Linked DNA regions of Cricetulus griseus. The protein of the gene in region 2 purifies or fractionates together with the protein of the main gene of each other region. This does not show direct contact. Links are inferred from orthologs where the notes say so. Each region holds a gene or a part of one and is shown on either strand. Other genes may lie near its edges.

Evidence for each region.
Region 1: the proteins of Cttnbp2nl (region 2) and Stk24 purify together in Homo sapiens (affinity purification with mass spectrometry; 3 studies listed by BioGRID and IntAct, with this or other methods). This does not show direct contact. The link is inferred for Cricetulus griseus from reciprocal best matches to the Homo sapiens genes CTTNBP2NL and STK24.
Region 3: the proteins of Cttnbp2nl (region 2) and Stk26 purify together in Homo sapiens (affinity purification with mass spectrometry; 4 studies listed by BioGRID and IntAct, with this or other methods). This does not show direct contact. The link is inferred for Cricetulus griseus from reciprocal best matches to the Homo sapiens genes CTTNBP2NL and STK26.

The regions. Positions count from the first base shown.
Region 1 is NW_023276807.1:271,171,519-271,175,241, reverse strand, and holds part of Stk24 (serine/threonine-protein kinase 24), read left to right. Parts: intron 1-1,052; coding exon 1,053-1,238; intron 1,239-3,016; coding exon 3,017-3,162; intron 3,163-3,723. UniProt on the Homo sapiens protein: Serine/threonine-protein kinase that acts on both serine and threonine residues and promotes apoptosis in response to stress stimuli and caspase activation.
Region 2 is NW_023276806.1:51,977,926-51,981,648, forward strand, and holds part of Cttnbp2nl (CTTNBP2 N-terminal-like protein), read left to right. Parts: intron 1-2,279; coding exon 2,280-2,387; intron 2,388-3,718; coding exon 3,719-3,723. UniProt on the Homo sapiens protein: Regulates lamellipodial actin dynamics in a CTTN-dependent manner. Associates with core striatin-interacting phosphatase and kinase (STRIPAK) complex to form CTTNBP2NL-STRIPAK complexes.
Region 3 is NC_048604.1:19,104,084-19,108,234, reverse strand, and holds the start of Stk26 (serine/threonine-protein kinase 26), read left to right. Parts: upstream 1-1,351; coding exon 1,352-1,394; intron 1,395-1,479; coding exon 1,480-1,553; intron 1,554-2,374; coding exon 2,375-2,844; intron 2,845-2,960; coding exon 2,961-3,111; intron 3,112-4,151. UniProt on the Homo sapiens protein: Serine/threonine-protein kinase that acts as a mediator of cell growth. Modulates apoptosis. In association with STK24 negatively regulates Golgi reorientation in polarized cell migration upon RHO activation.

The DNA.
Region 1 (3,723 bases), on a different chromosome or scaffold from region 2:
CCAGTCTATCTGATGTGTCTTTCCCGGTGTGTTCTCAGCCTGGGTCCCGTGGACTCTGACATGAGACTCAGACTCAGCACTGGGGAGCCCTGCTGCCTAAGCCCATGTACCAATCACTTCAGTCAGTGCACAGTGGGTTCCTTAAATGGTGACTGTAGTGAAGGGCATTCAGCAGTCTTAGGAAAAGGCTGTCAGTAACTCAAACCAAACGAAACACACAACACAACAGGCCACAAGACTTAGTGACTTATTTTATAATGTTGTATGACGACACATAGACGAAGTCTGTACGGAAGTGCTAGTAGTGATTTTGGTTGTGTGGTGATGTGTTAATGTTTCCCATGTCCATGTGTGACCACACTTCATAGCAAACATTCTGCATGGCTGAATGCAGGTAGAGCGTTTGCTTAGCATGCGTGAGGCCCTACGTCCAATTCCCAGCACTGCCAAAGCAATCAAACAAAACAAAGCTGCTGTAAGTTCTGGGCACAGTGGTCGGCCCTTTACATATCCTTCTGTAACCACCTCCCTCTTGAAAAGCAAGGGGGCGGGGCTCAGGGAAGCAATTCTCTAATGTTGTAAGACTACAGAGCTGGTGTTGAGACCAAGGTTCCCTCTGGATCTGAACAGCTGTGCCTGGCACCAGGCGCTGCTCAAGGGGTGACTCCCAAGCAGCTCCGCCTGCTCGTCGGCTCCTGTGAACACTGCTGCAAGGGCTGTACTGAGCACACCTCACAGGCGCGATGCCTACCATAGACGCGGCCAGTCAGGAGCTATATAGGGCGGGGCATTTGCTTCAACAGATCTGCCCACTGTGTTTTGTCTTGAAATTATGCCAAGGGCTTGTGTTTCTTCTTAGTTCAAGATGATTTTCTTTTTCAGAACCTGAGATTGAAACAGACCCACAGACAGACAGACAGACAGTCTCTCTCTCTCTCTCTCTCTCTCTCTCTCTCTCTCTCTCTCCTCTCTCTCTCTCTCTCTCTCTCTCTCTCTCTCCTCTCTCTCTCTCTCTCTCTCTCCATGTCTTAAAGATGCTTTGGTCCTTGCAGGCAGACATCTGGTCCCTCGGCATCACAGCGATAGAACTGGCCAAAGGAGAGCCTCCACATTCCGAGCTGCACCCCATGAAGGTGTTATTCCTCATCCCAAAGAACAACCCTCCCACACTGGAAGGAAACTACAGCAAGCCCCTCAAGGAGTTTGTGGAGGCCTGTTTGAATAAGGAGCCCAGCTTTGTGAGTGTACCCCGTCTCTGTGGTCTCAGCTGGTTTGAATTTGTTCTTTTGGGGTTGTCCCAGTCACTGTTAGCCACTGTCTCCATGAGCTCATACATCTTTGCAAATGAGTTTGATTTCTTGGAATTACAGAGACTTTTGTTGTTGCCATTTTACCTTTTAGGGATTTAAGATGTAATTATTTTGTTTAGAGTTTTCTAATGTCTTACACCTCATTGAACCTGGAGAATATTCTCTGTAGAACTGGAGTAGGGTCGGCAAGTTTTTAGTGCTCAGAGAGAAACAGGCTGTAAACTGGAAAACTACTTTGGTAATGGCAGAGGCTGGCCTGAAGATAATGGCAGTAAATATTGTTTCCAGTTGTCGTGTGCTGTGAGGCAGACAAATCAGACACATGGGACCTGCCCATCTCTGCCTCCTCTCCCTGGCCCTCTGAGTTTATTCAGCGGTGGCAGAGCCCACGCACCAGCCACATTGAGCTTTGCCTCCTTTTCCTGATAACTGGGGCTTTCCTTTGAAAGCAGCATGTAATTTGTGTCACGTGTAGCATCCTGTGTCCACGTTTTGGGTTTCTTTGAGCAGAGTTAGCTGGCAGCAATGCTTCATTGAACCCTAAGAATATCCATGAGGGGTCCCCTTGGCCTCTTGTCTGAAAATGGTGAGAAAAGCTGAGTTTTCCAAGAGTAGTTCCCCCGTCGGTACCAGCTCAGGCAATGGAATTGATCATATCGTGGCTGCAGATTGAGGTCAGCCTATCTGTCAGCATTTGGTCACTGGGGTGGGTGTGGTCTTGCATGAAGTCCACTTGTTTGATTGCTCAAGGCACAGGGTAGCATCCACAGTATGTTAGCATCCGGGAAGAGACCAAGTGTGTACACATCTTCTAAAGCATGTCAGTGCTCATTTATTACTAGGGTACACCCCTCCATCTTGGCTTGTCCCTGGACCTTCAGACAAGAAGGTCTGCAAAGCTGAGAATAGGAGCACTTGGGACGATGGAGAAGGGGAGGCCACTGGGGTTCTCAGAAATCATGGCTAGAGGAACATGCTGTTCTTACAAGAGGAAAACGTTGATTATCTGGAGCAGGTGGGACTATGGTGTGCCTGGCTGGCACCTCTGTGCTTTTGCTGTCTGTCCCTGGTTGGGCCACTCTGTGTTGAGGGAGCTTTGTGCCAGTAGATGGGAAACCACTGGCTAACCTCTGGGTGTGCCATTCAGTTGGAGTTGTGCCACGTCCAGGTGGTGATAGAGTTGTCGGCCCTTGACACTGGGGTAGGGATAGGTTCACACACTGACTTTTCTAGTTGGGAATGCTGGTGACCGACCAGTTGTGTATCTCCTGACTCCTGCCCCAACCTGTTCTAGATGAGTCTAATTACTGAGTTGGTTTTAATTTGTGGTATTAGCCTAACACTGTAGGAAGTCATGAAGAGCATGTATTTCCCTTAGTCAGCACTTGTCATGAGGTGCCATGTAAAATAGGAGCTACTCTCTCAGGCAGTGCCATGGAAACCAGGAGAAGCTCTCTCGGGCAGTACTCACAAAGCTCTCCCTCTGTGGAGTTACTGTAGAAGGGCTCTTGCTTCAACCTAATGGTTCTGATAGAATGTTTTTGTCCATGTTGGGAACTGTCACATTTACCTTGTGCCTGTAGTCTTGGGCATAGGTGTGGAGTGACTGATCTGGTGTTTTAGCCCAGTGGTCTGGCTGCCCGGGTGGAATAGAGTAGGATGAAGAAGACACTTCTCACGATTATTTGGACGCTTGTGTTTTCCAGAGACCCACCGCCAAGGAATTACTGAGGCACAAGTTCATAATCCGCAATGCAAAGAAAACGTCCTACCTGACCGAGCTCATCGACAGGTACAAGAGGTGGAAGGCGGAGCAGAGCCGTGACGACTCCAGCTCGGAGGACTCGGATGTGTAAGCGGCCCCGCCCCACAGGCTGGAGCTACCAGTCCTTCCTGATGGACTGTGTGTGCATGCGAGTGTCTGTGCTTTGGGCTGTGTCCCTTCCTTTTGGACTTACGCTGAGTTTTGTGTTGTACACGTGCCTTGTTTGAGGTTCTTTGTCCCCGCACTGCCATGGGGTTTGAGTGAGTTCTGCATAATTAGAAGCATAGGCAGAGTTGTGGCAATAGCTTCCTTCTCTTCATTACCCCTGACGATACCCCCCTCTAAAGGTACTGACAGACAGTCCTCGTATGCAGTGCTGAAGAGAAAAGAAAGAATGCTTTGGCGACTGGTCGGTGTTGCTCTGTGTGGGGCAGTTACTCACTGAAAGCGGGTTCCCCTAAGCACCACGTTGTGCCGACTGGCGTGTGAAGTGACTGGCACCCTCCAAACAGGAGCTAGAGGGAGGGTGGCCTGGCTGTCTTGTAAGAGTGAAAGGAGGCACCTGGAGGCCCCATAGCCATTAGCTAGCATCGTGTCTCCATGCCAGGACAGCTGACTGCAAGCCTCTGCGACCCACCCATGTCTGAA
Region 2 (3,723 bases):
AAGTCAAAAACAATTGAAAATTCCTTGGTATACTGTTTCAAGTGTAAAATGTTAAGTAGCATTAAATTTTTGAAACCTAGTAATTTGCCTGTTTGTTTGTCTGGTTTCTTGAGACAGGATCTCATGTAGCCCAGGCTGGCCTCAGCTCTCACTGTATCACCAAGGATAACCTTTACTATGCATGTGGGAAGGTTTTGTTACCATGCCCAACAAAGTACCTGTCTGCTCTTGGGTCTGTAACCCAAGCAGGGCATTAAAATTGTCAGAATCAGTTGGTACTTACAGGTCTATAATTAGAGAAAGCTGATAGTCCTGTCTGAATTTGCTGAAGATTCTCAGTGTCTACCCTTCACTGTCTGTGGCTATTAACTAACCCCTTCACCACTGGGAAAGATTAGGATTTGAACAACAGGTGATGCTGTCACACTGCTTGTAATGGAAGGAGAGTTCCTCAGTCACATCTCCTTGCCCAGCCCCCAGCATGCAAAGGTAGCTTTATCTTTGTTGTTTTGAAACAAGGATTTGTGGATTCGTGGAGCTCCCGTTAGGCTTGAACTCACTACGTAGGTGAAGATGACCTTTCAACTGTACCTCCCCAAGCACTGAGATGACAGATGTGTCTTCCCATACCCAGTTTAAGGAAGAGTCTTTATCTCATCTTCTGAAAATTCACTCTGAACCAGCCTCCCACAAGCACCTGCTACTTCCAGGTTCCGGCTCTTTGGGATCCTGAGGGTAAAATGGCTTCCTCTGCCTTACTGATGACTACCTCTCCTCAAACTATTTTCCCACTTCAGAATGTTATTAAAGCTGCCTATCTGGGCCTGGAGAGTGGCTGAGCAGTGAAGAACTCCCAAAGGGCCCAGGTTCAGTTACTATCACACCCACATCAGACAGCTTACAAGCACCTGTAACTGCAGCTCCATAGACTCCGATGCCTCCATGGGCAACCACACTCACGTAGTGCACACACTCTCTCACACATAAATAAATAAATCTTATAAAAAAATCTTTCTCCCCTACTAAAGCCTCTCCTGTCTCTGAGACTTTGTAGTTTCTTTCATTCCTTTCTGTAATTTTAAAGGGCTCTCAAGAGAGGATAGGTAAAACATGGCTACATGAGGTAGCTGACAGTGCTGTGCCCTGGAGGTCTGGGCTGAGCCACCTCTGAAAAAAAAGCTACTGAGTAATAAATACATCCCCATCTAGGATATTGTGTGGTTTGAGCAAAATTACATGGTTAGTGTCCTCTTCTGCTTGTTTTTTCCTTGAAACTGGTGTGGATCCTTGAGCACCAGGATAAAATTCCAAATCATTAAGAGTTTTGTGAAAAAAATCACCACTTAGGATCCCAATAATTGAGCCTTCTGCACGTAGGATGAAGTAGGAGTCTTCCCTGTTTTATCTGGGTATACCAAAATAGATATTATTGCTGGCCGTTGGTAGCACAAGCCTTTAATCCTAACATTCAGGAGGCAGAGGCAGGTGGATCTCTGTGAGTTTGAAGGCAGCCTGGTCTACAGAGTGAGTTCCAGGACAGGCTCCAAAAGCCACAGAGAAACCCTGTCTTTAAAAACCAAAAGAAAGGGGGCTGGAGAGATGGCTCAGAAGTTGAGAGCACCGACTGCTCTTCCAGAGGTCATGAGTTCAATTCCCAGCAACCACATGGTGGCTCACAACCATCTATTATGAGATCTGGTGCCCTCTTCTGGTGTGCAGATATACATGGAAGCAGAATGTTGTACACATAATAAATAAATAAATAAATAAATAAATAAATAAATAAATAAATAAATAAAATCTTTTAAAAAAAACAACTGAAAGAAAGGAAGGAAGGAAGAGAAAGAAATAGGTATTATTAGTTTAGTAAGGAACAGGACAACCCACTTGAGATGTTTAATTTCAATGGTAGTATTGAGAAGAACACCTCAGCCTTGTACACACACACACACACACACACACACACACACCAAAGTAGGTCTCTAGTCGCACCAAACTGCATATGATTCCCCAGACTTCTGCTAGTTCTCAAATCTTCTCAACCCCCACAGCTAATCAGTTACTCTCTTGTCTCTGCATTCTTCTGCACATACTTCAGCAAAGTAAATATCTTGTTTGCTAGCACATAGCTTGCATGTCTTTCACCCTGCTAGACAGCATGCTCCTTGACGGCCCTGGCTGGATTTCATTTATTTATTTAATCTGGAACCCTCAAGTGTTGAGTGGTATAAATGTGATTACTTGGTATTTGAAAGTGAATGTTTTAAAATCCTTTACAGGTGATCCTTGACCTTGAAGAAGAAAGACAGAGGCATGCGCAGGACACCGCTGAAGGAGATGATGTCACCTACATGCTGGAGAAAGAGAGGGAGAGACTGACACAGCAGGTAACTCAAGCAGAAAGATCATGATGGCACTTGCCTAAAGTGACATTTCTTAGGGTCATTGTCAGTGTACCAAGTTACATTATAAGTCTTCAAAAAGAAGATAGAATGTTCCATGTATATCATGTCTTATTTCCAATGTCGTCTTTTTTTAAACATAGATTACTTGGGGGTTGGAGAGATGGCTTAGTGGTTAAGAACACACAGTTTGGTTCCCCGACATCCATATCAGATGGCTGACAACTCCCTGTAACTCCATCTCTAGGGGATCTGATGCCCTCCTCTCATCTGCAATGACAGGGGCACTCACATACACTTAGCTCCCTAGATGCACCCACAAGTACATACAATTTTAAAGATAAAACAAACAGATCATTCAGTGGAACTGTCATTTATAGCACATTCTTTAGAGGTCTCTGATTTTCAGGATTTTTTGTTGTTTCACAATCTACAGTAACAATGTGGCCTATCGCAAACCAATATGTCCAAAGCAAAGATTACAGGACACGCAACAACCCTTTATTCCTATAGTACACAGTGGTATTTTCAGTCTTTTAGATCAGGCTAGCTTTGAACTCACACTTTTTTTTTTTTTTTAAAGTATGATCATGGCTAACCAAATTGATTTCCCCATCCATTAATGTATCTCATTTTGAAAATCCCTGCTTAGAAGGGTTCAGTTCACCCTGTTTCCTCTCATTCAGAGTCTGGAGTCTGTGTGATTATGTTAGACAGTTAGACAAACTACATTTATGTAGATCCAAGGATGGTGGTGCAAGCCTCTAATCCTAGCAGTTGGAAGGAGGATTTCAAGTTCAAAGCAAGTCTCAGAGTAAGACCTTGTCTAATGAAAACAGCAACAAAAGGAAGATTTAAGTGCAGCTACTTAAGTTTTTTTTTTTTTTTTTTTTTTTTTTTTTTTTTAGATCAGAGAAAATGATTGCTGGAACTTTTAAGTTTGATTTTCAGCGGCATCCATCCCCAGATCTAGCTTACATAGTGTTCTGTTATTTGTTTTGGCTGATTCTATGTTCTCTCCACATACCTAAAACACAATGGTGCATCATATTCCCGCTGTTCACCCTGAGGCAGTTAGGAACTCAAATGCCTCCCAAGTCATCAAGAAATGATTAAATCATAGTATGTGGGGGTTCTGTGTGGGATGTTTTCATACTTCAAAAATACTAATTAACCTAAGCACCGTGGCGTTCCTGCTAATACCGAGTGTGCACCAGAGAGCAGCTAGCGAGGGCACTCTACATGATCATAATTTTCAGTGCATCCTTTTGTTTTCCTACTCTAATCAAGATGTGTGGTGGCTTCTTTTTTTCTAGTTGGA
Region 3 (4,151 bases), on a different chromosome or scaffold from region 2:
CATAAGCAAATCCATAAGGAACCCCAAATAAATCCCCAAATGATCTTTATCAATAGTAGCAATAACGAATGGTTTATTCAAGATGAACATACCTGAAATAAAGGTGCTCATCGGTGCCATTCAGAAACTGTCTCAGTAGACTAGATGTCAAAGTTTAGTGTTAATTCTTCAATATTACTGCATCATTCTAGACTTGCATGATGTCAGGAAAGGTATTTCTCTGTTATGATTAGAGTTCACTTGTTTACTAGAACTATAAAACATTCTCTTAGGTAGTTGTAAAATTTAAGTAGCTGGAAACAACACATTAGGCCAAAATTGAATGGTATATAAAAATATATTAAAAATATATAAATATATATAAAAACATATAAAAAGTGATCAAAACTTCAAGGTTAACCAAGAGCAGTGTCTATGAGTTTAGCCTGATAATAAATATACTGTTCCGCCAGGCAGTGGTGGTGCACGCCTTTAATATATATATATTCCTCAGAATACACATACCAACATCAGAAAAGAATTCTAAGGAAATGCATTTGCTCAATTAACAAATATATATTGAGGACCTACTTGGTGCCACAGAACATTGCAGGGCTCTGGGAATACTGCAGTAAACAACAACAAGCAAGATCACTGTCAGAGAGTTACCATTCTTCTTGAATAACTTTCACAGAAGAGAAGCTGTATCTCTGGCCTCAAGCACATAGTAAGGTTGGTGGTCAAATAAAAGGCATGCAATGTCAGAAATACAAAGAAGGATCAACAGTGTAAGCATTGCTTCCATGTACACATGGTAGGATTCTGAATGTGAGCACAGAGCAACTATGAAAATTGGATGGTGGGTCTAAGAAAGTTCAATGGACCTACCTGAGGTGGGTCTTTAATGATGGAGCCTGATTCACATTACTAAGAATCACTGTTGGTCTCATCTCATCGTCTCAGACCTTGTTAACAGTGCAAATTCTTGGGCTAACTCCAGACTTGCAGGTTCAAAATCTTCACTTTGAAAGGATCCTCTGAACCCAGCACAGTGGCACACGCCTTCAGTCCCAACACTCAGGAGGCAGAGGTAGGTGGATCTCTGTGAGGTTGAGGCCAGCCTGGTCTATGTAGGGAGTTCCAGTCTAGGCAGGGACCTTGTCTCCAAAGCTAGACAAACAAATATTGTGGGACCATGTCTTCAAAAACAGACAAACAAATAAACAAGCAAACCCCTTTGAGATCTTTATGGGCATTAAAGTTTAAGTGGCATTGCATGCTTCTGAGTAGGCTAGTATAAAGTGTGTGCTGGGCTAGTGGGAAATAGACACTAGATTTGGTAGAAATAGAGAACACTTAGACTTGAAGCACTATGACTAAGGAAGACGCAATGTTGTCCTTTAATAACGTTCCAAGTAAACAGAAACCATATAGAAGGTAGTTAAGTAGTCAGGAGGTACCTAGATTGGAATTCTCTGATGTATCACTTTTTAATTGCAGTATTTGAGTCAAATGTTTACTTGGCTGAGCCTTTTGCTCTGTTTGCTCAATGGGGAGAAAGCAGTGTGACCCAGGTGAGCTCTTGTCACAGTAACTCACTACAAAACACAAAGCCTGAATTTAGGGCTGTCTGGCCCAAAGAAAATAAAATATTAGTAATAACCATGTTGATAAGAACCAGATTCTTCTCTTGGAGAAAACAGACACTCAACAAATGCTATTCTTCCTTTATAATTAATTGAGAATAGCAATTGCTGAGTGTCTACTTGGAGCTTCCCCCACAGTGTGTTGGGTGCATAGGTTCGGAACAAACTGCAAAGGTGTGTTCTCATGTTAGACTGGCTCTTGCCTATTATTAGCATTAGCCCTTTCTGTGTACACAAAGGTGCTTCCTTGAGATTCCTGTGACTGCTATTATTATCACTGTCACTGTTGTTATTGGGTCCCCCCAAAAGGGCTTGCCTTGTTCCTGGAGTTGAGTTTAAATTGGAAAAGGGCAAAGGGTTGCAGAAGTCATGGCTATGTATGCTAAGTATAACTATCTGTGCTGCCAAAGATCTAATCTCATGCTCCTTGCCCCTGTTATCCTCCTTAATTTTTTTGCCAATGGGCGATCCGTTCCAATTTGCCGCTCTTTTAAACACGCAGAAATTGTGAGAAGTTTCAGCCACTCCATTCCTTAACTGATAGCCTAAGGTAGGGACAGGTTCATGATAAAGTGACTTGAGGCATATCTAGGGGTAAGAAAGTTGAAAAGCAAGAGGACAGGAGCCTAAGGCGCTGAAGGAGCAGGTGTCTGGCTCGGAGGCCCCACCCTCGGCCAGGTGGGGGAGCCAAGCAAAACTTTTTCAACTACAGACCTCTGTGAGGCTACACGCCTCTGTGAGGTACACAGCCTCCCCAGCCTGTCTGCAACGTGGCCGGGTTCATCCGGGTCGCCCTCATATCCCCCACGCGACTCCAGCTCTCGCACACTCTTCTATTTTTCTCCAGGCCCAGTTGTATTCCAAGTTTCTTGATCCCAGGCTTCTGCTGCTTTTTACAAATCCGGAGAGTCTCCTGCTTCTCTGACTCCAGCTACTTTAGCCAAACCCTTTTGCAGCCTGAAGCTTCAGCTCCCCAGACACCGCCCGGCAGCGGGGTGGAGGCAGGGCCAAGTGCGGAACCGCCCCCAACCTCCTCCCAGGCTAAGCGATCGGGCGGGTTGCTGGGGCGCCTCCACCTCCTCTTCCTAAAGCGGCGAGGCGCAGCCGAGCGGCATCACTGGAGCCCAGGTCCCAGCCACTGCCGCACGAACAGCCCTGCATTCAGGAAGAGGAGCAGCAACCCAGTTGGCCACGACCTCGGCAGGCGGGTGTCTGAGAGGTAAACTGAGTCCCGGGGAGCAGTGCCGCGAACCTCTCACCTCCCAGCAAGGGGGTTGGAGGAGTGGAGGCTGCAAGCCTCCAGCCCACTAACTCCACTTCTCTGCGTCCTTCCAGGCCCGGATCGAGAAGCCTGGGAGAGCAACCGAGCTACCCCTGTAGGAGGAGCCAGTCTGAGCCGAAGGCGCCACCACCGCAGAAGCAGCGCGAAGTAGCAATCGCCTCCATGGCCCACTCACCGGTGGCTGTCCAAGTGCCCGGGATGCAGGTGAGAAAGCCCAGGCCTCCTCTGCCACCCACGTGACTGCTCCAGAGCCCCGCTCTGGGCACCAGAGACCAGGGGCAGCCACCGGGCAAACCTGAAGGTAGGGCCAGATCTCTCTCCAGGTGACCCCGAAGTAAAGCTCGAGGTGTTTCCTGGTGTCTGGGCTAAGAAGGTGCTTTGCGCGGGAGAGATTGGGGCGACTGGGGCGCGACAGTAAATGGGGGTTGGGGTTGGCGGGGAGGGGTGCACATATAAAAATAGGCCAGAACCTTAGGCACCTGTACTTGTTGGCTTATTGATCATGCCATGGTTGAGGACTGGGGGGGGGGGGGTGGCGGTGTTGTTCCAGAACTTAACCTAGATGAGATGAAGGGATCTTGGGATGTGTGGGCTAAAACACCCAAGCGGTGCCCCCCACACGGCACACACACAGAAGTTGGGGCGGAGCGACACCAGGAGTGGTGGTGGCATTGAATTGGGCTCTTCCTGTGTGCAAAGAGAGAAGAGTGAGATGACTTCTTTTCCCTTTCAGTGCTACTTAAAGCAAACTTGTATCTCGCTCCCCCACCTGTACAGGGGAAAGTGCTGGAAAGAATGCAGGGTCCCATTCTGAGTACCTAAGGGATGACTTCCCAGGCCCATCTCTTCATCTCTCTCATAAGGTGTATTAAGCATTTGTCCAGTCCAAAGGACTACTGAGTGGGATCCAAGTTCCTATTCGATGTCTATGCAGTTCTGCCCCATTATGGTATCATTTATTAGGGAAAAATCTATGTCAACAGACTTTTTACACATCTTGTTTTTTTTTAAACCCACTATAACATTTTAAACCATTTACATTTGACCCCCACCACCTGGTAGCATAAACAACTCCTTTATGAAGAATAGATCAGAGGCTAAAAACACTGCCACTGGTTTTATGTGATCTTTTAAATATGCTAAACCAACCAAAGAAACTTTTTTTCAAGTTAGAAAATGTCTGGAACATTGCATAACTTATGTTTCTAGTAGGACTCAAAACTCTGTGGATTGGAGATTCATTT